Arabidopsis thaliana: one gene and its partners. The protein of the gene in region 3 interacts with the protein of the main gene of each other region in a biochemical or structural test. Each region holds a gene or a part of one and is shown on either strand. Other genes may lie near its edges.

Region 1 (6,728 bases), 3.0 Mb from region 3:
GTGATTAGCTTCTGCTCTGAAGAGTTATAAGAAGATTGATGTTTCTGATGTGTCTGAAGAGCCATTGCTTTAGCAGCTGGTAAGAATCTTGACATCATTAGATCAAGACTTTCTCTAGACTTCTCATCACAATCAGATCTCTCACCGGTCTTCTCGATTTCGCTAACTCCACTTGTGCTGCAGTTAACAGAGAAGCTTACATTTGAAGAAACCGTATCCAAATCTTCATCTACTTCGTCTTCTTCTTCATCATCGGTTTCTAGTAGACCTGACTCTTGAATCAATGTAGCCATGTCATCTTTTGGTTTTCCAGGGATTTGTTCCCACATAAAAGGAATTGAAGCTGGTTCTGTGAGATGATCAAAGCTCTGGTCTGGTAATACAAAAACCGGCGTTTCTTGTTTTGTGCTCGGACATGATCGAAGCTCTGGTCTTGTAATCGTCGTCTTCTTATTCTCTAACTCACTTGAACGCTCTATCATAGACGGAATTCGCCTGATTGATGGTAATGGAGCATACAAATTCAATTTCTTTCCCTCCATTCTTGAAAACAAAAAGAAGGAAGAATAACAAACAGAGTCTTTGTTTTGTGTATCTCTTCTCTTGCTATGTGTTTGAGATTGTAGTTGTTCTTATTAAAGTAAGAAAATCGGAAAAATAAGAATAGAGTTAATGTATTAATATATGTGTGTAAATGATTGCCGAATGTCTAGGACCGAGATTGAAGGCTGGAGTTTAGGAAAATAGCAGATGAATCTATTATAAGTGTGCGACTAAAGAATTGTCAATAAAGAGACTTTCTCTTTAACCTTGTGTTTGGTTGTTTTCATTTCTTATATAAGTTATAATTGAGCTTAGAATAAATCCCATCCCCCACAAAGATTTGATTGAAAATTAATGATGAGATATTGAGATCAACTACTTTTCTTTTTGTTGGAAATTTTATGTATTGTGAATACATAACGATGTCGTTAGACATCGGAGTACAAGAAGATCAGAGACACAAATTTGGCCCTAATAAGGTGAAATATTCCTCAAGGCAAAACGTGAGGAGTAGTTGTGGTTCAAGTTTCAACTGTATTTTTTTTTTCTCTAAAAGTAATGAAACAAACAAAATAAAAGAAAAAGTGAGAAAAGACATTTATGTGAGCCAAATTACCGACTTTGGTAATGTAACACATGTTGTTGTGTCCTTTTCCGAGCCACGCAACGTCGTTTATAATGTAAGCACTAATTTTCTTTTCTCCGAATGCACCACTAATTGTTTACTTTGTTTAAAGTCTTTGAAAGAAAAGTCGCGGCATTCGCCTCGACGGATGATGGGGCTCGATTACGATATATAATTTAATTACTTTGAATTACTCATAACATTCCAAAAAATTGACTTATAATTTGCTAAAACAACCGGCCTTAGATATTGACTATAAATTAACATTTCACTTCTAGATTACATAGTGTATAGTATATTACTTTTAGATTATGTAATTGTTTTCTAGGTAGTATAGTAATCGTTTTAAGAGGAAAAAACATTACTCGGCCACCTCTTTCCGTCTCCAATATTCAAAACTTTGATTTTTAATTGCTAAACAAACAAAAAAAGAATGAAGAATAATAGTATGAAAAATGAGAGAAAAACTAATAGAAATGGTATTTGAAGAAATTTCTTTTAATCATAACTTAACTATCTGTTTGTCGTTACTTATGTTTTGGTAGGTACTACATTTATTAATAACCAATTCTTCAAAAGTGTCTATAAATAAATTAACGACTGGTCAAGCGAACATTTATTCTAATCTATCTAATACAAAAAGAGGAGGAGAAACCCATGAAAATTTGTAAAGTAGACAATAACTTGAGAAATATACACCTGAGAAAAAAATCGATTTACTGAAAGAAAGTGAAATAAGTTTCGTTGACCAAAATCCCTAAAATTGCGGGAATGAAAAGGACAAGGGAATAAGTATCCTTCACGTGGCAACCACTCACACTCCCCCACCAACACCCAAGCTTTGAAATAGCAAGCCCCACCAACACCCAAGCTTTGAAATAGCAAGGCCCAATAGTCCATTCATAAAGGCCCAATTCCCGAAAAAACATGAAAATTTCCAATCTTCACCGTTATATTTAGATCAATAGAACCTCTATTTTGTCTTTCACCAACTTGTTCAAAATAAATTATATCTGTTGATTCGGTCGGTTTTTGATAAAAACACACCAAAGTATTATAGAGTAAACCACTCCATTAGTTCAACAGCTCAATGATTCAACGGACATCATAAATTCATAACCTCCGAACAGATTTGAGTCAAACGGCCATGAAATTCACGAGATCTACAGTTTAGGTCATCATACTTTCTGTTCTGAGTGTAAAATACCTTCCAACCTAATAATATTATACTAAAGTATTGATATTAATTAGTTTAGAACTTCAAATTAAGAATCTTACATGATGCCCTTTTACTATGCATTATGCAAAATGGACAAAGAATTATCAAGAAAATTTTCAAACATGTATTTAGTCTAACTTTTGTTGTCAGCAATACAAATCAGTATATTTAGTAACTAAACCAACTGAGTCAACAATTTAAAACCATTATTTCAAAGATTCCTAATTGTAAAAATGTAGAAATAACCTTCATTTTATTTCTCTTCATAAAAGAGTAGGAGAAAAGAGACAATTACAATCACGGAAGAAAGAAACCACACGAGCATATTATTCCGATTCTTTATATTTTTATTATTATTATTGCAATGCTAAAAGCCTTAAAGATTAAAAACTAATCCATAACGATCCATTTTTTTCTTAATCCAATGATTCATAACTATAACTACGATTAGTTTATTGATTAGCTTAAACATATAGAGCTTACTTCATCATTTTCTTTGTGAGCTTAGCAAGTGAAGTAAGGTTATACCGAATAATGTTATCAACAAAAAATATTGTATCTTCCTCGCTAGTTCCTTCCGGCACATCCACCACGTAACTCTCCACCACCACCGTCTTCTTTGCCATATCCTCCGGCGACGCGACCACCTTCGTTTTCGATTTGTAATTAACAAGCCTATGGTTACCGCCAATAATACTTACCACCATCACGTGAGACTCATCATCTAGCTCTTCGAGCCTCTCCGTGCTGAAATCCGCCGGGAAGCCGGAGACTAACGTCACGTCCCGGACGGAGCCTTTTCCTTCTCCTCCTTTGCCGCCGCCGCCGCCAGAGCGCATGGTGCAACTTTTGACGAAACGTTGATAAGCTTGTGGTTTGTCGAAACTACGTAGGATGGACCACACTAGTGGTAATGGTGCTTCAATGGTCTCGACTACGCTAGAGCGACATCGTTTTTGCTTAGAACTTTCCATTTTCTGTTTTGTTTTTCTAATGGGTTTGTCTTTTATCGACGTGTATTTTCGTGTCTTACTTTAGAATTTTCGTATTCACTTGTTTTAAAGCATATCGAACGAATCTACGTACATATAAATGAAGGCAAGCCACCGACTAAAATATTTTTATAGTGTTTTATATTGTTTAATTTATTTACGAATTCTTCATGTAATATTAAACTTTAGAGTTCGATTCGAATTCTTCTTACTATATACTAACCAAAAAACATTTTACAATATAAACTTGTACACAAGTATTGACTGCCTTGTATAGTGAAAAATTACACAATCTTGTTGGCATATTTAGAAACTTTCTTTTGCTTTTTGATAAAAGGCTTGCATATTCTGGAACTTGGTTTTATCAAAAAGATTAACAAAACCATCTGTGAAGGGTATTCTGACAAGAGTGATAGGGAATATGGTTTTAACAAACCCTCTTTGAAGGTTTTTCTTTTGACTATATCAACCATTTAAACAGAAAGAGAGATATACGAGTATCTTTTCACGAAGAATTAAATATCTTACCAACTGATAAAAATTACCAATATTATATTAAAATCTAGTCGGTCTATTTTGGAAATTTGCTGCAGCAATGTTTTGGAGCTAAATATAGATAGATGTGTCATTGCCCACGAGGTAAATACAGATGTCATTTAAACCGGAAAAGCACACAATGGAATTTAGCGAAACACACACTTGTTTACAAACATAACAGTGTTTCTCTTAATTGGTTGCCGACCAGAAAAAAAAAGAATCCAATCTTTTTTCCTTCATAAGTGTAATGTTCTACGTATCCAATCCGAGAGCCATGCAAGTTCTACATATCCAGGGTAGGCATATTCAATGTTCCATCAGTCTATTGCCTATTAGAAATAAGGCCCGTATAAGCCCAAACTTTAATGATGATATTTTCCATTTATACATTTATGCTTCACCCCACACAGCACAAAATCCATTCTGTTTTGGTTTTGGGTTTCAAACTATCCAGTCCGTTTGTTAGTCCTTTTCTTGGCTTTGGTTTTATGTTTAGCCTTCCTAGACTAAGATCATGTTTAACGGCCGGCATTGTGTCACCTCCATGGTTATATAAATAACAAAAGTTTTAGATGAAAAAAAAAACTCAATTCCAATGTGTAATCTGTAAAGACATGAGATAAAATGTAATAGATTTTTTTATATATATTTATAAGTGGATTATAAAGGTAAATTGCAAATTAAAAATGGGTAAAGATATGAAGTAAAATAGAATAGATTTCCATAAGTGTATTATAAGAATAAAAATAAAATACATGGAACAAATTATATTTGGATTTAAGTATTAAAAATATGACTTAATAAACTTATAAAATTCAAATTATTCTTCTCTTAGATATCCATCTCGAGAAACATGGACATGATGACTATTTAAAATCCAAATTTTCATAAATTGCGTCTTAGAGTTGTAGCATATATGGGAATTGAGCTCAAGCTGAAATATATACATATATTGTTGGGGCTCACAAGTCACAATCAAAAACAGAATCGCAATTTTGGTATTTCTCAAACTTGCTTTCTTTATGGTAAGCAAGTGAAACCAATGCCCATTGCCACCCTCTGAACAATCTTATCGGCACCATTGATAAATTGTTTTGCAACCGTATCACAACTTTCTGTGTTATTAAGAATAAAAAAAGTTCGAAGGTAATGGAAGTTGTTCTAACAAATGGAGTTCACTACCTTGTAGGTTAATAAAAAAAAAACCTTTGATTGAATGTCTATTTATCCGGTCTAACAGAAAAGAATACGTCAAATTTTTTATTTTTTTTTATCTCTATCAGTAAAATTATTTATTGATGATCAACAAATTTTTACACTCAAAGAAAATGAGACGGGCGCAAGTAAGCCGAGTTAATTAGCAACTACAGTAGATATGATAGATCAAAACTTCCGATTTGTAACAAACCGATACTTCCAAACTCATGAATAACATATAGTATACTAGTATATAAAGAAACAGGGCAACATGGAATCATATTAAAACAAGCTTATGCTAAAACTCATGGCTCCAAGCCATCATTATTAAATACTATGGTCTATGGCTAATATATAGCTAGCTACAAAAGCTACAAACATATATTAATTGACATATATGTACATCACTATATATAGCCTCTCTCCGGATTCTAGGGTTTCGGAAAACTCTTTCTACCGACTCGATCGTTTTAACTTAATCAATTGCCGGTTCGAATCCTAAGTTCGTTTTATATAAATCCTAATTTGGTAATGCTAGCGCTTATTCAAAATGTTCGTTTTTTTTCCTAATTGCTTGAGTACTTATTTTAAACTCATGAGCTGTTTATTTACATTATTGGGCTACACTCGCTAGACCTTGTAATCTAGTTCCCCATATTATCATGCTTCCAATAGAAAATAATTATATAATAAAATACATATATACATGTACATATTTGTATAGGTGTGCATATATATAACTATATATACATAAAAGTAATGCTTAATTGTATATACATTTAGTGTAAGAAATATTATTTACTTACTTGTGCATTTCAACATGTATTCCAGTGTATGTTTATACATCATGATGCATGCAACGTACAGAAATGTTGTCATTTAAATACATTCACAGTTGGGACACACTCTAATTATTATAGCTAATTAATAACAAAAAAAGCTACATTTGAAAGATATATTATTCTCTCTTAATCATATCCAATTTTGAGTACAAAATTAGTTTAGAAATATATATACACACACGCATTAGGGTAAGTAAGTGACAATAGAAAATCGGGAAAATTTGATGGAATCAATCACTATTATTAATCCGATATTATAAGTTTTGTAGTCTAGATATCCAAAGAGAATAATTTCAATTTTTTTAAAAGATCATACGAAACTTTAAATTAGAGAGAAAAAAAAGAGAATTGAAAATTGATTACCTATATTGGAAATTTTTTATATGATAAATTTATCAAGTGAACGACTGATTAGGAGTCGAAGAGTTTGCAACATCCTTCTTGACAACAACGACCTCGTTTTTAGTCTTCCTCCTTTTCTTCTTCCTGTACGGAATCCCACGAGCCTTGGCTTGAGATTCTCTCACTTCCCTCAAGTGAACCCGGATCGACCCGTTTGCAAACGGGTTAGTATCAGGTGACCCGCCACCGTGTTCCTCGTAAGCAGCTCTTAGCCGTCCGATCAAAGCATCTAGGCTTCCCCAAGCTTGTTTGAGAGGACACGTGCACGGACCTGGTGGATCCGGTTGTCCGAAGAAGACACAAGCTTGATGATGTACTTTGGTCTTACCAAACTGATCTAAGTACCTTAGGAAACTTAGCACGTGCGTGTA
Region 2 (8,412 bases), on a different chromosome or scaffold from region 3:
CTCTCCAAGTCTTCGCCTTTCATGCTCACACACACGATTCCAGTCCCATGCTTTACAACAAAAGCCATAGCTTCAGGTGTAGCCAAAGATGCCGCCATTATCAAATCTCCTTCGTTTTCTCTATCTTCATCATCTACAACAACTACCATCTGCAAGAAAAACGCAAAGCTTTCTCACTTAAGACCTTCCCCTTCTAATAAGACAGTAAGCAGACACGATGCTACTATTACAAACCTTGCCATGTCGAATATCTTCAATAGCTTGAGGAATAGACGCAAATCCATCAGTAGGTCGATCTAAATCAAACTCTTCATCCTCAACTTCAGGAGAATCCATTGTTGTAGGAATCATTTCAGCTGCTAATGTTCCAAACGAAACCAAATCTGGCTGTAACTCAATCCCCATTGATGATCCATTACTCTTAGAAGAAGAGAACACATCTCCTTCCTCAGGTATCACTCTCATTCTAACATTAAACTTCTTCGATATGATCCTAGGATACACCAAGCTCGTTCCAAATGGTTTTGTTCCCTTGACAACATCACTGAAAAACCCATGAAGACAACATAACCATCAAAACCTAAATACATAGATATGTGTTTCAATTGAATCCAAAATCGAATCATAAGCAAACGTAATTTCAAATTCCGAATGATAAACAGATCTAATCAAAAACTATCAATTCAAATTCAGTGAAACAGAGAGAAATACAATTCAATTTGATTACCGGGAAGGCAAAAGATGCGTCGAATCGCACCGGAGAGTAAGCGACGCCATTTTCACCGGAGTTTTGAAGAGAGAGACGACGAGCTTCGAAGAGACTGAACCACCGCCGTAGAATATCACTGTGTGTGTTTTTCGCCGGTGATATTTTTTGGTGTGCTGACGTGGCAGTTGTATAGATATTTTTCCATTTATGGGTAAGCACGAGCGGAACGGCGTCGTTTAGGAATTGAATACGATGTCGTATTAGGTGGAAACACAAATCCCCATTGAGATCATCTTGTGTCGGTGCCTTGACTCGTTTTATTTACGTTTCTATTACACAAAACGTTTTTGATTGGATAATGATTTTCTTCACCAAATTTACACCTTACTTTACAGTTTTCCTCTTTTATTTTTTTTTATAAGAATGGAGCATTGTATCAAAATAGAAAATCGAGTAGATTTTGTTGCATTTTTTTTTTTTTTTCTTCAAACACCATTTATATTAAGTTATCGGGAAGAGACTCTCCGCTAGAGAGAGCCATTTAGGAACCAATGTGCTTACATGGGAAAAAAGGCTATTGCGAGCCCGAGCTTTCTTAGCTAAACAATCTGCTCGAGTATTAGAACTACGAGAAAGAAATCTAATACGAAAAGAAGGGAAAAAACAAACTAAAGAACGATATGAAGCCAATTCCGCTGCAAAAGTCAGCCAATCGTCTTGGTTATCAAGGATAGCAATCAAGTCTGAGCAATCCGAAGCAAAAGTACCAGAAGTATCACCAATAGAGATCATGCACTCCATTGCCTATAACAAAGAGTTAAATTCCGCATGAAGCGGTGATAAATTTCGACGAGTGCTCTTAAGGCCAAGGTGGATGACCAAGTCTTGTCGAACAAGTACCCAACCATGCCCGCTCAATGTGTCATCTACATGCCATGATGCATCGAGTTGACATTCAGGGAGCAAGGTGGACGGGGTCTGAGAAGAACCTACGAACACGATTGGACGAGTGGAATCATCCTCTTTTAGAGTTGCTTGTTTCCAAACAGCTGTCTCTTGAAGTGCCAAAACCAAAGTTTCAGGGGGAGGTTCCCTGAAGTTCTCAAAAACAAAACGATTTTTACTTTTCCAGATATACCAAATTATCCATGGAAAGAGTTCCAACACCTTTTCTCCAATTCCAAATTCTCGGTCACGCCAAAAAAGGAAGTCGAAATTATAGAAGAGAGAGTTTCTAGGGAAAATATTCCCTGAGGTAGGAATAGGCGATAAAGCCCAAATCTGTCTCGAAGGTGGACAATGAAACAATAGATGGTTGATTGTCTCTTCTACTTCTTCGCAACGGGGACAACCTTTATCTGTACCCATATGGCGATATGTCAATCTTTGACAAGTGGCTAAACAACCCGAGATACATTGCCACACGAAATGCATAAGCTTCCGCGTAGTTTTAAGCTTTCATACTTGTGCCTGAAGTGCCGAAACACCTGGTCCCTGAAAAGGGGGGTCACAAGTAGGACGAGAAAGATCTCTCGCGACCCAATATCCTGACTTAACAGTATAATTACCGGATTTAGTGTGAGACCAGCTAAAGCCATCACTCAAGTAGGTACGACTTGGGCGAATCCCTAAAATGAGTGGAATATCAACGGGATCGATCAGTGCTTGGAGACGGTCCAATTTCCACAAATTTGTGTTTTGGTCAATTAAATCATTGACATAGAGTAGAGAATCTCTTATGTTAAGAATGCTCTTTGCAGGCCGCGCTAGGATAGTGGGAATCCATGGATCTTTCCATACGCGAGTCAGCATTCCAGAACCTATGGTCCTCCGAAATCCAAAGACAAGAAGAGGTTTGGCGCATTTTCACCTCTAAAATAAACACAATTTCATGTTGATATTAAGGTTGTTAGTTTCGATCCAAAAGAATTATTTTGACTATAGTTAAGATGATGTTATACCTAAAAAATATAATTTACATTTTATAAAGAAAACAAACTAATTATATTATCAATGGATGATACCGGATATAGGAACTTATAAGGTGAAAAAAATCAAAGAACCAAAAACCCAAAAACTTTCCAAATATATAAGAGAATATAAATATGTTTTGGAGAATCAAAAGAACCTAACCCAAATAAAAAGAAAGCAAAAAACTCACTCTTGTTGCTGTCATCGAGGCCCAACAGCTCTTGTCTCATTTTTGCATTGCCACGAAAGTCATCACCCTATAACTTTAATTTATAAATTTTTTAATGGGTTAGAGAAAATAAAAAACGCATATAATCCAATTATTACAACTTTAACAAATTAAAGAAGACATGATGATTAGATTACCATGCGAATAAGACAAACATATTTTGTAAAATGTTGTCAAAAAAATATCTCTAAAGCATTCATGATTTTAGCATTTAACAAAATAATTCTGATAACCAATTTTGTTACACACTACTATAAAACTTCTAAACACAATATTGTGATGTTATAATAACTTTTACATGGTGAATAGACAATTTCAAAAGATTAATAAAAAGAAAACTCGATTATTCAATTTTTAAAAATAGATTATTAATTTAACACAGAGATTCCTTTCCACGTATAGCTTGAGTGGAGCTGAGCCGATTAGTATAAGCCGAGCCATATTATATCCGTTTGAGATTAATTTTATTTTAATTGATTTTTTAATCTTCTCTTACACGAGTTCCAGTGATACCGGAAGAAACCTGGAGGTAACTGGGTATAGCCGGTGGACCCCCTCAAATTTATTTTAACAAAAAAAAAAAAATCATTTACAAAAGAAAACACCCAAGACAATATCTACTTAACCATGGTTACTTTCTAACCCAACCTTTGAGTTTATTTAAACTGAGAGAAAGTGTGAAACCAAGCTTGTTCATATGGAAAACGCTCATCAACCTCAACAATCTCTCTCCTCTCTCTCTCTGTATATAGAAGAATCTCCATTGTCTTTAATTTCTCTCCATTTCTCTTTCTCTCTTCCTTCAAAGTTTTCTCTTTTCTTGATGGGTTTAAGAGAGTAAAGATCATCAAGTACTATGCATTAAATTGAGAAGTTATTAAAAATTTCGAAAGTAATTAAAGATTGTTGATGATGAAGAGATTAAGTAGTTCAGATTCAGTGGGTGGTCTCATCTCTTTATGTCCTACAACTTCCACAGGTACTTAGCTAATTTTCTAAACAAGTCCTTTAATTAATCTCATCTTTGTTTGCTAATTGTTCTTCTTATGGAATTACAGATGAGCAGAGTCCGAGGAGATACGGTGGGAGAGAGTTTCAGTCGATGCTTGAAGGATACGAGGAAGAAGAAGAAGCTATAGTAGAAGAAAGAGGACACGTGGGCTTGTCGGAGAAGAAGAGAAGGTTAAGCATTAACCAAGTTAAAGCTTTGGAGAAGAATTTTGAGTTAGAGAATAAGCTTGAGCCTGAGAGGAAAGTTAAGTTAGCTCAAGAACTTGGTCTTCAACCTCGTCAAGTTGCTGTTTGGTTTCAAAACCGTCGTGCTCGGTGGAAGACAAAACAGCTTGAGAAAGATTACGGTGTTCTTAAAACCCAGTACGATTCTCTCCGTCATAACTTTGATTCCCTCCGCCGTGACAATGAATCTCTCCTTCAAGAGGTATAAAAATTCAACCTTTTTGATAAAAGATTGAAACTTTTGTTGATTCAAAGTTAAAAAAATTGAAACTTTTTACCAATCTTGAGATTTACAAGAGAATTGAAACTTATGGTTTTGGTTTGATGCAGATTAGTAAACTGAAAACGAAGCTTAATGGAGGAGGAGGAGAAGAAGAAGAAGAAGAGAACAACGCGGCGGTGACAACGGAGAGTGATATTTCGGTCAAGGAGGAAGAAGTTTCGTTGCCGGAGAAGATTACAGAGGCACCGTCGTCTCCTCCACAGTTTCTTGAACATTCTGATGGTCTTAATTACCGGAGTTTCACAGATCTACGTGATCTTCTTCCATTAAAGGCGGCGGCTTCTTCATTCGCCGCCGCAGCTGGATCTTCAGACAGTAGCGATTCAAGCGCTCTGCTGAATGAAGAAAGCAGCTCTAATGTCACTGTGGCGGCTCCGGTGACGGTTCCAGGAGGTAATTTCTTCCAGTTTGTGAAAATGGAGCAGACGGAGGATCATGAGGACTTTCTGAGTGGAGAAGAAGCTTGTGAATTCTTTTCCGATGAACAACCGCCGTCTCTACACTGGTACTCCACCGTTGATCATTGGAATTGAAGCTGAAAACACCACCGGAAGAGATTTTGGATTGGATTAGATGCTCTTTTCTTCTCTGTGGAAAAAACAGAGGAGGGCAAAATGGGAATAAAGTTAAAATTGAAGGGTGAAAGGGCAATTAAGGAAGGGTTAAGTCTGGGCGGGAATAATGATTTAGGGTGAATTTGTAATTATGCTTTTTCTCTAGTGATTTTCGTGCACTTCTTGTAATTAAGGATCATCAGATCAAAGAGAAATTGAGAAGGGGTTAACATGTCAAAGGCAAAAATTCAGCATGGGCTCTTTAAATTACAATTGACCCTTGAAACCTAAATTATACCACTTCTGACCCTTAAATCAATTTTTGAATCATAAAACTACAGTGTGACTTCGTGTATTTAGTTCTAGTGTATTATGGGATTTTTTTCAAAGAGAATGCACCTCAAAGTCTCAGCTTTAAGTCTAATGTTTGGGTAAAAAACACACCGAACTTCAGATCCAAAACCTCTTGATAGAAAAAACAAAATAGATGTGTTATACACTTTTTTTTTTTTTTTGAATCTGTTAAATATACTTTTAGTGTAGTTTGTTTTGTGATTTGAATTAAAACTTTAGTATAAATCAATTTATTACATTTTCGATTACCGGAAAGTATTCATGTCATTAAGGTTTATTTAGTTCAAACTAATTTTTTTATTTCATTCTGTCTTATTTGACCTATAAAATCTAATTTAGCTTAAAAAGGTATTGTCATGTACCACTAATTTATAATTACTAACTTATATACTTTAATTAGTGATATAAGGTGAAACTTAGCAGTAATGACAACAAATAAAAGATGAAGATATATACTTAAAGGCGGTAAAAGATGATAATAAGAATCCGACCAAAAAAAAGATGTGATAAATAAAAAATAGATTGTACAATAAGTTTTAATAATATTTTAAATAATCATAAAATAAAAAGAAATTTGTTTTAATATTTTCTTACCAAAACCTCAACATAATATAGTAAAAAGCCAATAATACAAGACTTTGTACCGTCAGTTTTTTTATGATTTATAAGACCTAGATTTATAATATAATTCAATACCACTGTTATTTACTATAGCTTTGATTGATAATTTATTTGGGGGAGAAACTTTGACAAGAGAATTGGCACGAGGTTATGAAGATTTTTGGAGAAAAAACATTGACAAGACGAAAAAGTTGTTGCTAAGATACAGCTTCCAAAATGCGATTTATGCCATCAGAAATGAGCGAAACAAAAAAAAAAGACATGGAGAGCAAACTTCCCATCTGGAGATGCTAGCAAAGATAATAGATAAACATGTTTGAAACCGTCTAAGTACCATGAAGTGTGTTAGAGTAGAAATGCATACAAGCAAAATTTAAGTCTGGTTTGCGTCTATGCACTAGTGAAAGAAGTTGTGTCTCATTTAAAATGTTTCAAGTAATTGGTAATTATTTGTAAAAATGTGTATTTTTTTGAATATAATTTAACACTAAATTCAAAAAAGTAAAAAATAATTTGGGGTATACCTCTTAGCATCTTATAGTGATAAGTTTTTTTTCTTAACAATATGCATTATACAGATTTAAATTGATGTAGTAACACAATGACTTCATTAGTAAAAACCTAAAAACTACTTCATTATAGAGGTTAAATTCCTCAAAACTGTATAATGTTATTATTTAAACACTATCATTAGGTTTGCTGTTCAGATTTGATTTGATTCGAATTCGAGTTGTCTCGGTTTGTGTAACCAACAGTGTATTGATTGTTAAAGAAAACTAATTATGCTTAAAGGTAAACCGGCAAAGCTTTGGACCACCTCGAATAAGATCATTATAATAATAATACCGGAATCTTCTAATTAATTAGAATTCTTAATGCATCTTTGATTCTTTATATCTTTTTTACTGTTAGATCAACTAAAACATGTCGATGATCAGATCTTCCTATAACATTACTGTGTTAGATTTAACAGTACGATGTATATAATTTCCTGTGTTTTATATTCAGTTATTCACCTTTCTATAGTTTAATCACAAAGCAGGTTTCTTGTGATTGGGCTAAAGACACATTTATGTTGTGAATTGTTTGCTCAACGCATACAATATATCCCAATATACCTAGAGTCGAAGATAGGGAATAGAGTCTAGCTAAGAGATACTATAGTACATGCTACATCGAGGAACATAGATAATCAATTTAGACTATTAAATCATTATGGACCAACTATCTTCAAATTTTGAATATCTAAATTGTTGAAATCCCGACTCAAAGTTACATCAAATTAGCACTTATAATCACTCACTAAAAATAATGAAATAAAAATGAAGAAAAAACTTGATTTCGATATTAACTACTTCTGAAAGAATACCTAAATCTCGACCTCATTGTAGAAATTTTTTTGTAATAGATTTTTTTCTAATCTTTCTGTTTTTCTTTCTCTAAGAGCATTTCCAACTCATATCACTATATTTTATTTTTTTCCAAAATAGAGTAATTTTAATTTGGAGTTTGGGTTTTACTCAAAATAAAGTTTTGAGATAAACATGGAGATAGATCGGAGATCATCTAAGAAAAATTTGCATGTGGTCCAACCAGGGGATTGTGAAATCGAACAGGTTACAAATCAACAACAAAACCAAATACCTAATTAGTTTGGTTTTATGTTTATTCAAATATATTTTTGTGTGTAGGTTTAAAGATTATGCATAACCGAGATGTTGATACTCGATAAAAGTTTTGATATCCGAAAAATAGTTTTTGGTTTGGTTTGCAACTTAATTTTTTATTTTTTTAAGATATTGAGATATTTATTTTGAATCAGATATTTAGCTTTTCACCTATTTTTAAATGGATTGATAAGATATGTTTTTATAATATAACTCAGCATTCTGATATTTTGAGTTAGGTATTTCACTATTCATATATTAAAGACCACGTGAATGTGATTTGGATATTTTACATTTACACGTTCCATAACATTTAAGCAAGAAAATAGATCTAACGGATCCAAGTTTCTCAACGCATTGGATAATAAAATATATAACACATGAAAGTATAACAAGTTTTAGTGCTCAATCCTAACTTGGAATGATGTTCATATGCATGTTTCATAATACAAATGGTTTACAATGTCTATGGCGAACACTGGTCGAATTAGAATGACTATATACAATGTTAGAGTATGATATGGGATAGCCTATAGATTTTGCGGCCAAAAAAGTGAAATTTGTTAAAGTAGGGATTGAATTTAGGGTTGTAGAAAAACATTGAAGGATAAAAGTAATATGACAAAAGGAGGAAGAAGAGAAAGGGAACACGTGATTGGACATCATATACATCTTTTCTTTCCTAATCCCACGACACGACATATCTCTTCTATTTTTTCTTCGTTTATAGAAAGCATCTAAAGTAATTTTTCCATTTTTAGATATATATGGAGAAGTCAAAAAAATAA
Region 3 (8,884 bases):
GACAACGGAATCTCAGTGATACTTGTGAACGACAAGTCCAAGACTCTGAGAACAGGCATATGCATGAAAAACCCTGTTGGAATCTTCTTCAAAGAGCTGTTCTGTTGGAGCATCAGTGTTGTCAGTTTCGGGCATATGAGTTTTTCAGGCAAGGTCTGGATTCTGTTATCTAACAATGAGATCACCAACGCTTGTCGCCAGTTTTCTGCTTTAGGAGCTTCAGTATGTCCCATGCTAGGCTCAACTAGGATCAGCTCCTTATAAGTCCCCTGTTCAGATGCCATCCACAATGCAAAGCTTCTGACCACATTATGCATCTTCACCTGTGTTTTCTCATCTCCGGTTTCCAACAAACATGCCGCTTTCAGATCCCCAATGAGAAAATATCCCTTGTAAATGGTGTTAACGCCATGGGAGCTGGTGAGAAACCCTTCGCCGACCCAGTACTCAACAAGCTGCTCGATCTCTATAGAATGTTCTTCTGGGAATAAAGCGCAGTACAAGAAACAAGACCGAAGCAGATCACTCTCGAGGTTGTCGTAGCTGAATTTCAAAAGGGCAAATACATAGTTCATACCCTTCATCTCTGCTGGAAATCTAGTCAGAACTTCACTAGCATGGATCCACTCTTCTTCTGTCTCTCTATGAGCCATGGCTCCTCCTAAAGTGATCAACGCTAGTGGCAATCCTCCACATTTACTCACTATAATCTCCGCGAGCCGGCGAATTGATGATGACTCTAAAAGATCTTTTCTCCATACCTTACTACAGAACAGCTCCCACGCGTGTTTCTTCTCCAGAAACTCCACTCTCAACTTGTATTCCGCACCCATATTGTTGCATAATGCTATAGACCGTGTCGTGAACATCACCTTGCATTTGTTTTCCCTGTCAGGTCGAGGAACTCCAGTTTTCTCCAAGTCTATCTCTTCCCAGACATCATCTAGCAACAACAAGAAACGTTTCTGTCTCAAAGCTCTGTATATCTTCAAAGCTCTGTTTTCGCCGGTCTCCTTCTCGTCCCAAGATAAACCCAACCGTGCTCCAACGGCTTGCTGAATTGTACACTCGCCGAATTCTCTGGACATTTGAACCCAAATCAGTACATCATACTGATGTCCTTTTGTGATCAGCTCGTTGTTAATGCTCTGCATTAACGTTGTCTTCCCAACCCCACCAGGTCCATAAACACCAATGATTCCTCTTTCTTCTTCTTCACTGAGAAATTCCAAAACCTGTTCCATCATCGTGGTATTTCCGACAACGGACTTGATGGGTATCTCTCTACAAGTTACTTGAATTGACCCGCCATCTGTTTTGATAGCTTCAGAGCGTTCTCTCAGCTCACCAATGCTCTTCAATATGGCAGAAACCTTCTTGCACAGTTTGTAGTCGGCACAACCGAAACAACTGAGGTATCTCCTCCTCATTCGCGTCCTCTGTTCCCGACGCCTAAACCTCACTAAAAGTAGGGCTGTTTTAGTCTCCGTTACTTGCACCGCACTAAGCCACTCTCTGGCACGATTTGAGCAGCTTCGTCCCTCTAGACCGTCTTGTTGGATCCGTAAAGTCAGGTCATCACGTATGGCCTTCAAGTCACCGATGGCTGTTTCAAGATCAGTGATGGCTTGTCTAAGATCAGTCTTATGTCCTCTTCTCTCCGCCATATTCATAGATTCACACAACACCTGAGCACAGCCAACGATAAGAGATGAGATGAAATCCATTTCGATGATTTCTCGCTCTTTCTTTTACTTGTCTGAGCTAACTAACTAATAAAGATGAGGTGTTGACTCATAAAGATTAAAGTAAAGTCAACTTTAATAAAGCTGTCTTGCTTGCTTGTATGACTTGGTTCAAGAAACGAGTAGAGAGAGATAGGAATCTTCCTCGAAGTCTCGAACTGTTGTTTGCATGCTTGTAATTTCTACTGGCCAAGTGAAGGCCCGATAACAAAATTGGCCCTCTAAGAGCCTTTTAATGCCTATAGGGTTTTTTTGTTGGGTCAACAATTCCAATGATGGTGCATTTTTTTTATGTTGAATATATACAAGATTTGTTGCATATTAAAAAGACTGGTCAAGTAAAGTGTTTCACCGAAAATGGGAGACATCAAGTACTTATGAATGATGATATATGTACCGTTCTTTAGAATTAGTTCTGTGACTTTATTACGAGTTAGAACAAACCTACTTCTACTTCTCTTATCCACTTTGCCCGCAATCGCAAGGAAAGCTAACAAATTCAATTAATCACACATTAAACAAAATAAATTACTAGTGTTCATATTTGTCTCGGCTTTCTTCTCAGTTTATCTAAAAGAAATAGCTTTCAATAAAAAATCAATGTTTTTTCTACTTTTGTAATAATTTGTAAAAAAAAAACGGTAGATGATTGGTACATTGTATTTGAGGTGTCTTGGGTATTTTGTCTCTTGCCCATCATCCAAAGCCCACTTTCACACATCTCCCATATGAATAACATATCATTACACATTGTCCAAAGAAAACCGCACAAGTGGCATCAAACATATGGAACATGAATAAATACTTCTTTTTTATCTATCTGTTGACGAATAAATATTTATTGAGATATTAGAGAAAATAGAATAATAATGAGGAGAGGAAAAAAGAGAGTTTAAAGACAAGATATTTACGGAATTTAATGGGACGAAAGAAAAATAATATAAAAGGGGGACCTGTCTTTGTCAGTGCAATGAACCTTTTTTTCTTTCGATCAAATCTCTCCCGCCACCCAACTAACACATCTTAAACCGTACACGTCACCCTCTCTCCTTCCCATTTTCTTCGTCTACGTGTCGACCATCCACCGGTTTTTGTTTTCTGCTAAACGTGGGACCTATTCACATTTTTATTTTATTTTAAAAAATTGGACGGATTCTTTCATGTTCTTTGGGTCGTTGCATAATTATGTCCATGAGTCTATCCATCAAAATACCTTCGGAATCATCTTTTTATTTTATATATATACTGCGACAACAATAATTTTATGTTTTGTACTGTCTTTTCTGGTCAATAAAAAAAACTAAAAATTTGGTCGAATTTAATGGACTTCCATGACCAACTCTTCATTTCCCTTAAGGATAAATTGAGAAGAAAATTATATACTGGAATTTGAAAAAGCTTTATATAATTGTAACGTATTTTTATAATTGCACGACAAATCTCTTTTCTTGATTTTTTGTATGAAACTACAAAGACCAATTTTTCTAACAACTAAGATTCAGTTATTATTTTTGGTCACATAAATAAATGAGACGATAACTTCATAATGGTTTTGGTTTTGAGTTTGACCAAAAATGGTTTTCAAGATAAATAATTAGATGAATAATGAAACGTACCCCTTAAATAACAATTATTTAGATATTTTACCGGTGGTCTTTCATTTTTCCCGAATATAAAACATTGAATTCTTATCTAAAGGACAAAGTATTGTTCTTATTCTGAAAATGACACAAATTTAAAATTTTTATTTAAATCTATGAATATCTAAATGGTATATTATGTTTGGTGTTTTTTAGTCCAATGATTAGGAATTACGAATAATGTTTTCGTAATTCAAACTCTATTTATTTAGATTGAAAACTATATGACAAATAAAATAATTGCAAAACAATACAAGATTTAACTCGGACTACGACACGTCATTTAATGAAAGTCATCTTTATGAAAATATAAAATCCATTAAACTGATGACCTAACTAAAGTTAAAAGCAAACATATTTTATTTTGTTTGACAAACAAAAAAGAAATATATTTCTCCCAAAGAAAAAAAAAACCAAAAAACTTTATGTTTGTTAAAAAAATAAGAAATGATAAAAGCATTTTTTTTAAAAAAAATGTTGAATATAGGAAGTCTGAAGCAAGTGTCTTTTTATGAATTAAATAGTTTAAAATTTCAAGAACGAAACATCTCCCCTTATTACAAAAAATAAATAAGCCAAAAAAAGTATCACTTTAATAATGTAATAAAATAAAGTGATATGTATATAAGTATACATACATAAATAGTAGATTCGAAGCAATTGTTGCATTAGCCTACCCATTTCCTCCTTCTTTCTCTCTTCTATCTGTGAACAAGGCACATTAGAACTCTTCTTTTCAACTTTTTTAGGTGTATATAGATGAATCTAGAAATAGTTTTATAGTTGGAAATTAATTGAAGAGAGAGAGATATTACTACACCAATCTTTTCAAGAGGTCCTAACGAATTACCCACAATCCAGGAAACCCTTATTGAAATTCAATTCATTTCTTTCTTTCTGTGTTTGTGATTTTCCCGGGAAATATTTTTGGGTATATGTCTCTCTGTTTTTGCTTTCCTTTTTCATAGGAGTCATGTGTTTCTTCTTGTCTTCCTAGCTTCTTCTAATAAAGTCCTTCTCTTGTGAAAATCTCTCGAATTTTCATTTTTGTTCCATTGGAGCTATCTTATAGATCACAACCAGAGAAAAAGATCAAATCTTTACCGTTAATGGAGGAAGTATCTCCGGCGATCGCAGGTCCTTTCAGGCCATTCTCCGAAACCCAGATGGATTTCACCGGGATCAGATTGGGTAAAGGTTACTGCAATAACCAATACTCAAATCAAGATTCCGAGAACGGAGATCTAATGGTTTCGTTACCGGAGACTTCATCATGCTCTGTTTCTGGGTCACATGGTTCTGAATCTAGGAAAGTTTTGATTTCTCGGATCAATTCTCCTAATTTAAACATGAAGGAATCAGCAGCTGCTGATATAGTCGTCGTTGATATCTCCGCCGGAGATGAGATCAACGGCTCAGATATTACTAGCGAGAAGAAGATGATCAGCAGAACAGAGAGTAGGAGTTTGTTTGAATTCAAGAGTGTGCCTTTGTATGGTTTTACTTCGATTTGTGGAAGAAGACCTGAGATGGAAGATGCTGTTTCGACTATACCAAGATTCCTTCAATCTTCCTCTGGTTCGATGTTAGATGGTCGGTTTGATCCTCAATCCGCCGCTCATTTCTTCGGTGTTTACGACGGCCATGGCGGTTCTCAGGTAAAAGATTGGATCTTTTGATTAGGGTTGTTTACAGTTTGCAGAATCTGATTTGGTTGTTGTTGTGTAGGTAGCGAACTATTGTAGAGAGAGGATGCATTTGGCTTTGGCGGAGGAGATAGCTAAGGAGAAACCGATGCTCTGCGATGGTGATACGTGGCTGGAGAAGTGGAAGAAAGCTCTTTTCAACTCGTTCCTGAGAGTTGACTCGGAGATTGAGTCAGTTGCGCCGGAGACGGTTGGGTCAACGTCGGTGGTTGCCGTTGTTTTCCCGTCTCACATCTTCGTCGCTAACTGCGGTGACTCTAGAGCCGTTCTTTGCCGCGGCAAAACTGCACTTCCATTATCCGTTGACCATAAAGTAAGCATATATAGACTCAAGATCTATAGTTGGATTGGTTGTGAACTTGTGATAGGTTTTTAGTTTTCAAGATGTTGAGTTAGAGAGGTTTATGAAACCATTTCTGATGTGTGCTTGTGTTATGTGTGTAGCCGGATAGAGAAGATGAAGCTGCGAGGATTGAAGCCGCAGGAGGGAAAGTGATTCAGTGGAATGGAGCTCGTGTTTTCGGTGTTCTCGCCATGTCGAGATCCATTGGTAAGCTTTCATTATATTTCTCCATAAAGCTTCTCAATGGTTCTTGAAATAGAAGAAACCTTTCTTCTTACAAACATTTATCATTGTGACAGGCGATAGATACTTGAAACCATCCATCATTCCTGATCCGGAAGTGACGGCTGTGAAGAGAGTAAAAGAAGATGATTGTCTGATTTTGGCGAGTGACGGGGTTTGGGATGTAATGACGGATGAAGAAGCGTGTGAGATGGCAAGGAAGCGGATTCTCTTGTGGCACAAGAAAAACGCGGTGGCTGGGGATGCATCGTTGCTCGCGGATGAGCGGAGAAAGGAAGGGAAAGATCCTGCGGCGATGTCCGCGGCTGAGTATTTGTCAAAGCTGGCGATACAGAGAGGAAGCAAAGACAACATAAGTGTGGTGGTGGTTGATTTGAAGCCTCGGAGGAAACTCAAGAGCAAACCCTTGAACTGAGGCAGAGAGGGTCCTTTTTCTTAATTTTTAAAATGAATATGGGTCTCTCCAAGAAAAAGTATTTACTATTATTAATTTGTGCTTATTTTTTTAACTAACAAGTTATAACCATATGGAGATAATGAAGCTTAATGTGTTAAGCTCTTTTGTCTTGACTACATTCTAAAAAGCCCCTTGTATTTTTCTTCCCGGGCTAATTGTAATATGGTTACAACATACATTAAGATGTAGTATTATTGTTTATGCAATTACTTTCAAAACTTTACATACGAAAATAGAAAGATACTTAAACTATGTACAAAACAAAATGTGTATAATGATATGAACTACTATATAAGTATATCCACCACTAGCAGAGAAACATAACTGATGATAGTTGTGTTTATAATAGTGATGTGAAAAGTACACACATTAAATCAAATTTTGTAGACAAGTCTCTTAAGTCATAACATCTCGTAAATTTATCTTTCATAAAATCTCTTCTAGTGGATATGAAATAATAACTTGGAGGTTAAAAGATTGTTCAAACTCGGTTCTAGTTAGCAAGTGGGGGAATCAAAGATCCTGCGTCGGTGAAGTAAGCCGAGAGATTTGTATCCGAATCTTCAAACATCTTTACGAACTTGTGTTCCTATTCACCAAGATGGAACCAGAAAAAAGATCGTTAAAAGTAGTCCAAGACAGTACAAGGTGAAAGACTCAGAGTCTTATATGATTAACGCACCAGAAGCTCCTTTGCTGATTTTCTGTCCCTTGGATCTTTTTGTACACTACACAAGTTAAAGCACCATTTCAAATGCCTACTCGTTATAGCAACAAAAATGACATGACAACTGGTCGAAATCTGTCTCACCATTGCGAGATGAAGGAGCAAAACTCTGGAGAAAAGAGATTGGAAGGTGCACAAGGAGGCGGGTTTTCAACAATGGCGTCCACAAGCTCGTACACGCTACTCCATCCTTTCTTGTGTTCTGGAGGAGTATACGGGAATTTACCCGTTGCACATTCGAGCAAAACCAGTCCCAAGCTCCAAATATCGCTCTTGTTACTGTACAAACTCCCGCTGATTCTCTCTGGCTGCAAAACATGATAACAACACCAGTAAGTCGTATAAAACCACTTGTAACTCTGAAAATTGAGTTTGTATGTATATTGAGTGTTGAGAGGTGAATGGAGGAGACTCACAGACATATAAGGGTATGTGCCCACGAAAGAATTAGCAAGACTACTTGTGCTTGTCAAGATCTTGCTGACACCAAAGTCTGTGATCTTGACTTCACCTCTATGATTGATTAGCAAGTTTGAAGGCTTTAAGTCCCGATGAATGATTCGCCTCTCATGATGAATATAACAAAGACCTCGAAGAACCTGCGTTTAGTAGAGAAGAATGAGCTTAGTTATGTGTTTTATTAGAGAAGATAAAAATAGAAAACCGGTAGAGATGTTTAAAGATTTCGCGTAGAGTACTCGCTTGCAGATGGCAGATAGCATGTTTTCAGGAACTTTTCCGACTTTCTTTAACAAGTCTGCAAGGGATCCACCATCCATGAATTCCAATATGATTGAAACAAGACCGTTGTGGTAGAAAGATTGATAACATGAGACAAGATATGGACATTGCGAGCTCAAGTTTATTCTCAGCTCCTGAGAAATCGCCCGACATGTTGATTCTTCTGTGTTCAATTGAATGACCTGAAAATAATATCATGTATCTTTGTGAACCAAGAGAGAAGAAAACACTAGAAAAAGAAGTAACAACAAGAATCTGAATCAACGACCTTAAGAGCGAAAAACTGTTGAGTGAGTTTGTGTTTGACCAACTGGACATTACCACTACTTCCTTTGCCAATGACTTTGATCACTTCTAAATCTGCCAAACTCAATTGGTTGTCCAATGGCTCAATAGGAGGTGGCTGCAAAAACCAAAAACATCCAAATTCAATCATGGAGTTACATAATGTACGAAAGGAAGTGAGATCTCATGAATAAACAAACTTACAGCTCCTGGTTCGGACAGAGACACGGTCTGGATTCCATCTTTGTTCACTCGAAGATCTCCATCTTTAAACGTTCCACTCTGTGTTCTAATCCAATTTTCAATGTCAGAAAACTCCATTCAAACAATTTCAATTCCTAACAATGATTACACAGTAAAAGACTGTAGAATCACTTGTGGTATGAAAACAAATCCTAGAAACAGAGAACAGTGAACTCTGATTTGCAGAATAAAACAGAGTAATCACCAACTATAAATCTAAATCTGAAGAATAAAAACAGAGTAATCACTAGAAACATTTATGGATAATGCCCTAATATTGACATTTAAAAAGAATCCACACAGAGAAAAAGAGAAAGAGAGTTACAAGAATTTGGAGATGGATTGCTCAAGAGGAGGGAGACAGATGGGATTAGGGCATAAGCTTCCTCTGTTCATGTCTGGTTTTTGGAGATCAAACCGACAAAACACAGTAGCAGATAAACACACATGCACAGAGACACAAGGTCAGAGATCAGAAAGATAAAGCTTAGAGGAAGAATGACGAACCGTCGACGTCGTGTAGCTAATGAGTATAAAGAAGAAGACGAAGACGAAATGGTCGTTGACTTGTCCTTGACTCATCTCTCCTTTGAATTTTCCTTCTTTAATTGTCTTTGTCAACAATAACTTTGGATCAAAATCATTGCATTTTAACCTCCCCACTTCTCAATGTTCACATTAAGAATAGGCTGATCATATATATAGTTTTATACTCTTGTGAGTAATTTTCTTCGACGAATGGTCTTCTTCTCTT
Region 4 (7,665 bases), on a different chromosome or scaffold from region 3:
AGAATTTGTGTGATTAGGTTGATTGGTCATCAAGGGGAATGACATTAGTTGAAATGTGTGACTATCTCTATATCTATATTCATACATTCGTATAAAGAAAAAGTTGAAGGATTGGTACCTCTTGAAGAGCAACAAGAGCTTCAGCTGTCCAACGATTGATTTGGGGAGGGGCCAACATATGGGTTATACTTCTCACCTGGAAAAACAATGTAAAATAGTTTGTTTGTAACACAAATCAGCATTTCCACATCACTGACGATTCATGTTGAGTTTTGTAGCTACAGGAATCATATGGTTCTGAATCTATGAGCTCATAACCTCAAAGACAAACTAGATTACACACTCCTTAAACAAGGAGGGTTGGCCTCACGATTACTCTGAATTTTAGTTAAATTGCTATATCACTCACTATGTACACTGCATTGATGCTCAGATATGTGTGGGGTGTGCAAATCCTAAAACTAGCCACATTAAACACCAAAAGGCTTGTGCCTCTGTTAGTATATATGAATATTGTTAAGCTGTGAAACTTATTATGGCTGGTAAGAAAAAGAGTAACTAACTTCTCTTATGAAACTGGCAGCCGGAATAAGAAGGTTTGTCTGCTTCTGGAAATGGCGAATCTCTTTTAGAGCAACGGTTCCTGGCCTGTATCGATAAGACTTCTTCTGTGAGCCTACAAGGACAACACCGAAGATTAGTTTTAAACACACTAAGTGTCCTGTATTCTCAGGGATATCACAAGAGATTGGTTTTTTTTTTAAAACAAACCTCGTGGCATAGCCTGTCTGGATCTCTTAGCCCCTCTCTTGACAAACCAAAACGAGAATTTTGTCAGCTTAATAACGAAATCAAAGTTGAAGCAGTTCATAAGCAATGGTCACAAAAATCTTACCCTTGTACCAGTAGCTGGTGAAGTTGTAGGATTTGCTGCAGATGTTACAAAAGAATAACTTCACAAACAAAAGAGATGAAAAGAGGGAAAAAAAAGACTTCAAATATAAAAAACTCACTTTGTTGAGTATTATCTCCACCTTCACCGCCTCTCCTTGTCGGGGTCTTCAATTTCGATAGATAAACAAATTTGATCATAACGATAAAAGGAAGAAACATTGGAAACCCTAAGACGGAAAAAGATGCCGTACCGTAGTTGGACCTGCCGCCTGAGAAGATGAAGCACCGGCGGCATCTACAAATTTCAGATTCGAAATCTAGGGTTAACAAAATCGAAATAAAAAACCTAAAATTCTGGGTAAAATCAGAAGTAAAAATTGAAAGAGAAAGCAGATTTAAGATACCAGTTTGATTCCGAGGTTGTGACCTGGTAACGCGATGCTTGGTTCTCGCCATTGATTTTTACTGCTGGAGAAATCGCACCATGAGAGAGAGAGAGGAATCGTAAAATCGGAAAAGAGAATCGACGAAAACTGCGATTATGAAAGTCACCTGCTGAGAAATTTCCCGCTAGATACGAAAAGATTAGAAGATTGGAGCGGAACTTTTACTTTCCCGCTCGACACTCAAATTTTGATTTTAAAATCGAATCTGCTTCACAATTTGTTTCAGTCAAGAGTCTCTCTGAACAACTTATTACAATTTGCACTAAACCTGTGGCTTCACATAGAGGGTTCGACTCGATTGTTAGCCTTCTTTAGTTCCTGTTTTACCCCTGGTCTGTATACAATATTACATTCAAATATGTACCTGTTTGTTTAGATGAAAATTGGAAACAGAGGGGAATAGGTTTTGTGTGTTTTACCGTTAAACCTCAATTCAAAATCTTTGTCTCTCTCTCTCTCTCCCAATTTATGCTCATCTTTTCAAGTTAATGAAATTGACACAGTTTTTCAACTTTCTGCCTCAGATTCTTTACAAGTTCTCAGCATCCAATCATAGGTTCTGTTCAATAGAGAAGTGGAATCTGAAGTCTACAGAAACATCTTTTGTGAACTATATATTATACATCATAAACCATTCACATTTACATTGTTTACAAAAATATCTACAAATAACAAACCACCAGGAGATATCTTACATCAAAACTTCACCATTGGGACAATATGTACATCTTTTTAGACTGGTCATTACCGAGGATAGATATCTATATATATATCTAGGCCAAACCAAAAAAATCCTGAAGAATATTGATTATATCACAAACTGGAATTGATACTTCACTTCAATGCCCTTGTTCATTGATTATGTAGTTCACTGAGTAATGTCCTGAGAAGCCAATCTTTCAGAAACATCTGCTAGTGACTTGAGATTACATCTGATAAGTGCTTCAACAAAGTAGCAAGTCTCATCCTTTGTGTTACCTTGAGGAACATCAACTACAAACGATTCAATCACCATCGTTCCTGCTCTTCCCTCGATTATCTCCGGATGAACCGTCAAAATCGACGAGTAATTCTGCAAACAAACAATCAATGAGAATCTGCATATAAACAAACATCAATGAGATTTGATTTCTCTCGCTGTACCTTAAGTCTGTGATCACCACCGATGATTTTGATACCGAGGATGTGTTCTTCATCATCAAGAAGTTCTAATCTCTCAGTAGATGTTGTTGCAGGAAGACCAGATTTAACATTGACTTCTCTAAGACTGCCGATTTCAGGATCACCGATTACTGTACATCTGCTCACAAACGGTTTGTATTTCTGCGGCTGATCAAATCTCCGTACAAGTGACCAAACCTAAAAAAAATCAATTATAATCAATCGTTAAACAGAGATTTGGGGGAAAAAACCCTAAATCGATGGTTGGGATCAAAATTGACGGATCATGGAGAAAATGGTACGAAAAGGGTGAAATTAGTGGTAGATTGGAGAAGCTTACGAGATGAAGAGGAGCTTTGATGTGTTTGACAAGAGCAGAGGTACACTGGTTTTCTCTGCACAGATGTTGATGATGCGTCCGTACGTATTGCACCGTCTCGAGACCACCGTACATCGCCGTGCCGCCTTCAACGCCGTCCATCATATCTCTCTCTCTCTCTCTCTCTTTCGTTCTTCGTTGTTATCTCACAAGGGAGAATCTCTGGAAATGGATAATAAATACAAGGAAGAAGAAGAAGATGCTTCGTTATGCCAAAACAAAATTACTTGTTTATGTTTTTTGGTTTCTTTTAATGAACCCACCGACATAATAACTTTTTACTTTTGTACCTAAACTCTTTTTTATAGCTTCCTTCTTCTCCTTCACACATTTTCAGCTTTTCAAACCAAACAAAAACACAACAAGATACTAATTTTTTAATGTAACAAAAAAACAAAATATTTAAGCAAGTTTTATTGTATGACGTTTTGGGGACCTATATAATCCGAACAAAACAAAACAGATTGCTTAGATAATTATTTGTTTTGATTAGGTAAGATCGTTTCAAACTTTATAGATAGTTTTGTTAATTTAAATTCAATTTTAGACCATATTCATTATAATAGCTAATTTTTTAGACACAAAATGTCGTTAATATACCAGAAATTTATAAATGAGTGATTCTCCATGTATCAGGTCTCATATGTCTTAGACCACATCTTATTAGATATAGCTCTCGTTGCCTTTAAACCTTGTTGTTAAACATTAATTAATTGTATCAAGCTAAATGTCTAACACCATATCCTATCTGCAAAGTGACTGTTCCATGTAGTCATGTACGACACGTAAGGTGTAATTTCTCTTCTAGGAGGAGAAGGCATTTCTACAAGAAGATTGGTACAAGGCATCCACAATCTAAAATCATGAAACAAGAACTTTAATCTGTTTGAGACAAAGTCCTTAATTATATCATACCGAATGTAGACAAACTAGTTTTTGTTAAATTGTATTTGTTGTGAATCACACCTCATACGAAGGAAAGATGAGATACCACAAAGAATCTACAATAAATCATCATTCGATTCATCTCCACTAGTCTAAAGTTGCCCCTCCTCCATCTTCTTCGTGAAACTCAAGCTTTCGAAACATATGGTGGAAGTCACTTTTGATAACCACCGCCGCTAATTACGCTTTCTAACCAGTAATATTAATGGATTACTATATAATTAGTGAATTCTATTTCTTTCTTTTTTGAATTCTACTTTTGTTTTTCCCAAAGGAGAAAAGACTCACCTTTACTTGGTTTTCTCAAACAAAAACAACATAATCACTTTTTAGATAAATCTAGTTAAATGATTACTTATCTAATTATCTTCTAACATATGTATTAATTATGGTTTAAGGTTTTCATAACGAACAATCTTCCGATTTTGTAACCATTTTAAACAACACATATAATTGTAACCGGAGGTTTTCTTGTTCAATATGAATATGGTTTATGCTTACATATCTCATTAATTGTCTGAAATTGACGTTATGATAAAATAGGGATTTAGTTTATATATAACATTTTCTGCAATCATATTTTTTAAAAAATGTTAAGTGATAATATAGTACTTAAAAGAGCGGTAATTGACGATAATTACAGTAACCTTATCAGATAAAAATTTACCCAAAACAAAGCTTATCGGATAGGATCACCTTTGGCACTAGCTAGGCATGCGAACTTAAACGCAAAAGACGACTTTGGCGTAAATTATTAACTGCTTCAAGATAAAAACAAGGAGCCTTTTTAGTGACAGCGACAATGAGCTAAATACGGTTAAATAATAGGAAACCAATATACGTGTCATATTTTCATTGGTTTATTGTCTGTCATTTTCATGTTCACGTATTATGTCGTTTCTCGTGAACTTGACACGTGTAATTCTTCTTTTTGTTCATTTGGATAACTTTTTTGCCGGCCAATAGGTTCCGAATCTTTTCGAATTAACCAATACCACAAAAAAAACAGACGGAAGTGAAAGAAAAAAAGACAACATTAACGACATTCTTCTGATAATGCTGGCAGTAAAAAGTTATGAATTTATCGTTTCATTCATTTGTCCTGGTTTAATCTAACTTTGACTGTTTCAACAAATTTAACAAAAGGAAAAAGCTTCAAATTTAGATGAACCAAAGAAGGCCCAATCTTTAAAGACCATCACAATATGGGCAAACGAATACAAGCAAAAACAGCTTCGGCTTATAGTTTACTAGAACTGAGAAAGAAGAAAGTATTTGCAACCATTGTTTCTGGTGGGCTTTGCGAAATCTAAAGGTCTGAAAACACACACAAAACCATTGGGTTCTGTTGAATCTGATTTTACATTTTTAAGTATTAGCCAGCTTGTTATGCTCTTTGTAGTTATTTTAAGCTGAGATATGACCAGTTTCTAGTTGCATCTCTAGCATATGTATCTGGAACTCTAACACAATTCAAACAAGTCATCATTTTCTCACCAGTTGCTTTTGTTGTTGCAGTTCATTGGGACAAAATCTCCAAAAAAGCAAATTCGTTGGAGAAATCAGTAACATTAACTCACACAACTCTTACTACTACTCATAGCTTAAGATAACACCATTATTATCAGTTAACACACAAAGAAAACCAGAGTTTACGAGGATTTAGAAGATGTTGAACATAAAAAGGATTAGATAGCTTAAGATAACATTAACACACACACAACTCTTACTACTCTTCTTCGTCGTCTTCAGAGTCTCGTACGTAGTCGTCTCCATCGGTTTCATCATCTTCGTTACGGTAGTATTGAGACTGCTCATTGACAAAACAAAATATGGGGTCAAATTTAGGCAAAACATAACTGGAAGAATTAAGTGAGAAAGGGAAACTCGCGGTAAGAGGTTGTTGACTCAAATGGACACAACAAGTCTGCGTTTTTGGCTAGGATGCTTACTTCATGTGCATGTTCTTCACTCTTGAGATGCGTGGAGAAGTTTTCAAAGCCTTGGACAGTAAATCTGCATTGCTCACAAAGCAAGGCAGGTTCACCCATCTCGCCGCACTTGTCCTCCTGAGGTGCCCCTGAATCCATATCATCTGCGTCCGTGGAGATAACTAGGTCAGACACAGCTTAACTATTTCAACACTGTACTGAGTGTGAGAGAGAGAGAGAGAGGACAAGGACCTGCTGCTGGTAAGCTTGCCAGTAAGCTTTCCCAGAGGAAAGACCCTGTAGAAGGGGAGGCGGAGGATGCGGCTTGTTGAGGATCATCTGGAAGAATAGACCGAACAGTGTTGTATCCGATCCTACCTAGCATGTCAAGAGTGGTCAAGTAGATATGCTCGTACGATATGAGCATTAAATTAGCCGGAGGTTGATTATACCAGGTCCACTTAACCACAGCCCACCCAATCCCTGAGAGAGCTGTTTCGGAAACTATAAGACTTAAAAACAAAAACAAAAAGGGCAAATAGAAGCAAAACCCTAATTTTAGAAAATGAAGGATGAGAAGATATAAACCGGTGGGAACGTGATGAAGAGCGATTCCAGAGGAATGGACTTGTCTGAGGAAGTCATGAGGGACGTCTGTTAGTATCCCAACGGCAGTGATGGTGAGAGGACCAGAGTAGCCTAATTTCTCCAAAGCCCGTTTTATACACGGACCGACCCTGCGAACATCAACGTCAGCCGGAACCGGACACCTGTTGATGTCCCACCAGACGCGTGTTACAGCCTTAGACTTTGGCACGACCTCACCCACAGGCCACAGCCTTCGCCTTCCTCATCATTCAAGACTTGGAAAATCTAGAAGATCGGAAAGCCAGAGAGAAAAAAAGAGATGAGAACATTCGATCGAACCTTGTAGGACAAATAATTACCTGTTCAGATGCGTTTTCTACCCCATAGAACTACCTTGTTACCGCTACTTGTGGTGTGGTTTATTTATGGGCCGATTCGCGTTGCCCATTAACTGTATCTTAGCGCACGGGCCCATTAGATTAAAAAGTTTGGTAAGGAACTTTACTTTTGGCCTGTTTATTAAACGACCGCGTTTTCAATTTGGGAAGCAAATTTCTATATCAAAATATGTGAATCAGGATATCGAGTTTGACGACTATTATTCTGACGATGATTTACTAGGAAGTTGACTCCAAAACTCTGATTCAATTTTCAGTTTGTTTAAATTTAAAAGTTAATCAGTTTGAAACAACTATCGTCGTCATCCGAATGAATATATATAGGCCAGTGAGTACAACAAAACAAAAAGCTTTCCTCAAGTAAATAACCAAATATAGTTTTTGCCTTTTTGTCCAGTGAAACAAGGACTTCACAATCCTTGTTCAGCTTTACTCCGTTCTTCAGCCATTCTCTTCTTGATCTCATGTGCTGCATTGAAAATCCCCATTGTTGGTTGGTTACACACAAAGCACTTCTTGTTCTTCGTGTGATGCTGCATCATTACATTAAACAAAACTCGCTAGTTTCACACATTTCTTCACAACTAAAAAAAAAACAGACTCGTAATTGTGATGATCATACCTTTAAAGCACAATGCTCACAGAAGTAATGCTTGCATTTGGTGACAACTGGATCAACAAAAGGCTCCCTGCAAATGAAGCAAGCAAAGGGCAATGCATTTTCGTCTTCGTCGCTATCCTTGTCAGCCTCATCATCTTCATCCTCAACTCCCATAGCTTTATTTCTCTTCCTAACTTTCTCTGCTTCTTCCCACTCTTTCTCTATCTGCCATCCTGGTTTGTAATCCCCACGGTCATGCAAGAACTTACACGAATCTCCATATCCACAGTATCCGGTTTCTTTGTAATCCTTGCAAATGTCT

The links.
Region 1: the proteins of ABI1 (region 3) and PYL13 form a complex in vitro, tested with the Arabidopsis thaliana proteins (one study listed by BioGRID).
Region 2: the proteins of ABI1 (region 3) and HB6 form a complex in vitro, tested with the Arabidopsis thaliana proteins (one study listed by BioGRID).
Region 4: the proteins of ABI1 (region 3) and RCAR1 form a complex in vitro, tested with the Arabidopsis thaliana proteins (one study listed by BioGRID).

The regions. Positions count from the first base shown.
Region 1 is NC_003075.7:10,250,992-10,257,719, reverse strand, and holds PYL13 (PYR1-like 13), read right to left. Parts: upstream 3,362-6,728; coding exon 2,867-3,361; downstream 1-2,866. Other genes in the region: AT4G18630 (hypothetical protein (DUF688)), read right to left, coding at 1-542; LSH9 (LIGHT-DEPENDENT SHORT HYPOCOTYLS-like protein (DUF640)), read right to left, coding at 6,351-6,728.
Region 2 is NC_003071.7:9,523,019-9,531,430, reverse strand, and holds HB6 (homeobox protein 6), read left to right. Parts: upstream 1-3,585; 5' UTR 3,586-3,818; coding exon 3,819-3,888; intron 3,889-3,967; coding exon 3,968-4,347; intron 4,348-4,475; coding exon 4,476-4,961; 3' UTR 4,962-5,443; downstream 5,444-8,412. Other genes in the region: RIBA2 (riboflavin biosynthesis protein), read right to left, coding at 1-149, 235-544, 728-777; AT2G22440 (non-LTR retroelement reverse transcriptase), read right to left, coding at 1,514-1,959, 2,197-2,521. UniProt on the Arabidopsis thaliana protein: Transcription activator that may act as growth regulators in response to water deficit. Interacts with the core sequence 5'-CAATTATTA-3' of promoters in response to ABA and in an ABI1-dependent manner.
Region 3 is NC_003075.7:13,217,439-13,226,322, reverse strand, and holds ABI1 (Protein phosphatase 2C family protein), read left to right. Parts: upstream 1-3,946; 5' UTR 3,947-4,494; coding exon 4,495-5,043; intron 5,044-5,113; coding exon 5,114-5,404; intron 5,405-5,535; coding exon 5,536-5,641; intron 5,642-5,733; coding exon 5,734-6,092; 3' UTR 6,093-6,408; downstream 6,409-8,884. Other genes in the region: RPS2 (NB-ARC domain-containing disease resistance protein), read right to left, coding at 1-1,727; MEK1 (MAP kinase/ ERK kinase 1), read right to left, coding at 6,628-6,723, 6,817-6,862, 6,946-7,169, 7,278-7,460, 7,560-7,784, 7,871-8,005, 8,092-8,176, 8,456-8,526. UniProt on the Arabidopsis thaliana protein: Key component and repressor of the abscisic acid (ABA) signaling pathway that regulates numerous ABA responses, such as stomatal closure, osmotic water permeability of the plasma membrane (Pos), drought-induced resistance and rhizogenesis, response to glucose, high light stress, seed germination and inhibition of vegetative growth.
Region 4 is NC_003070.9:137,458-145,122, reverse strand, and holds RCAR1 (regulatory component of ABA receptor 1), read right to left. Parts: upstream 3,254-7,665; 5' UTR 2,986-3,253; coding exon 2,842-2,985; intron 2,700-2,841; coding exon 2,484-2,699; intron 2,413-2,483; coding exon 2,209-2,412; 3' UTR 1,862-2,208; downstream 1-1,861. Other genes in the region: HTR12 (Histone superfamily protein), read right to left, coding at 119-196, 564-676, 772-808, 896-930, 1,014-1,059, 1,146-1,189, 1,299-1,350; AT1G01355 (Putative endonuclease or glycosyl hydrolase), read right to left, coding at 5,555-5,635, 5,778-5,920, 6,009-6,260, 6,345-6,526, 6,582-6,610; AT1G01350 (Zinc finger (CCCH-type/C3HC4-type RING finger) family protein), read right to left, coding at 7,153-7,275, 7,365-7,665. UniProt on the Arabidopsis thaliana protein: Receptor for abscisic acid (ABA) required for ABA-mediated responses such as stomatal closure and germination inhibition.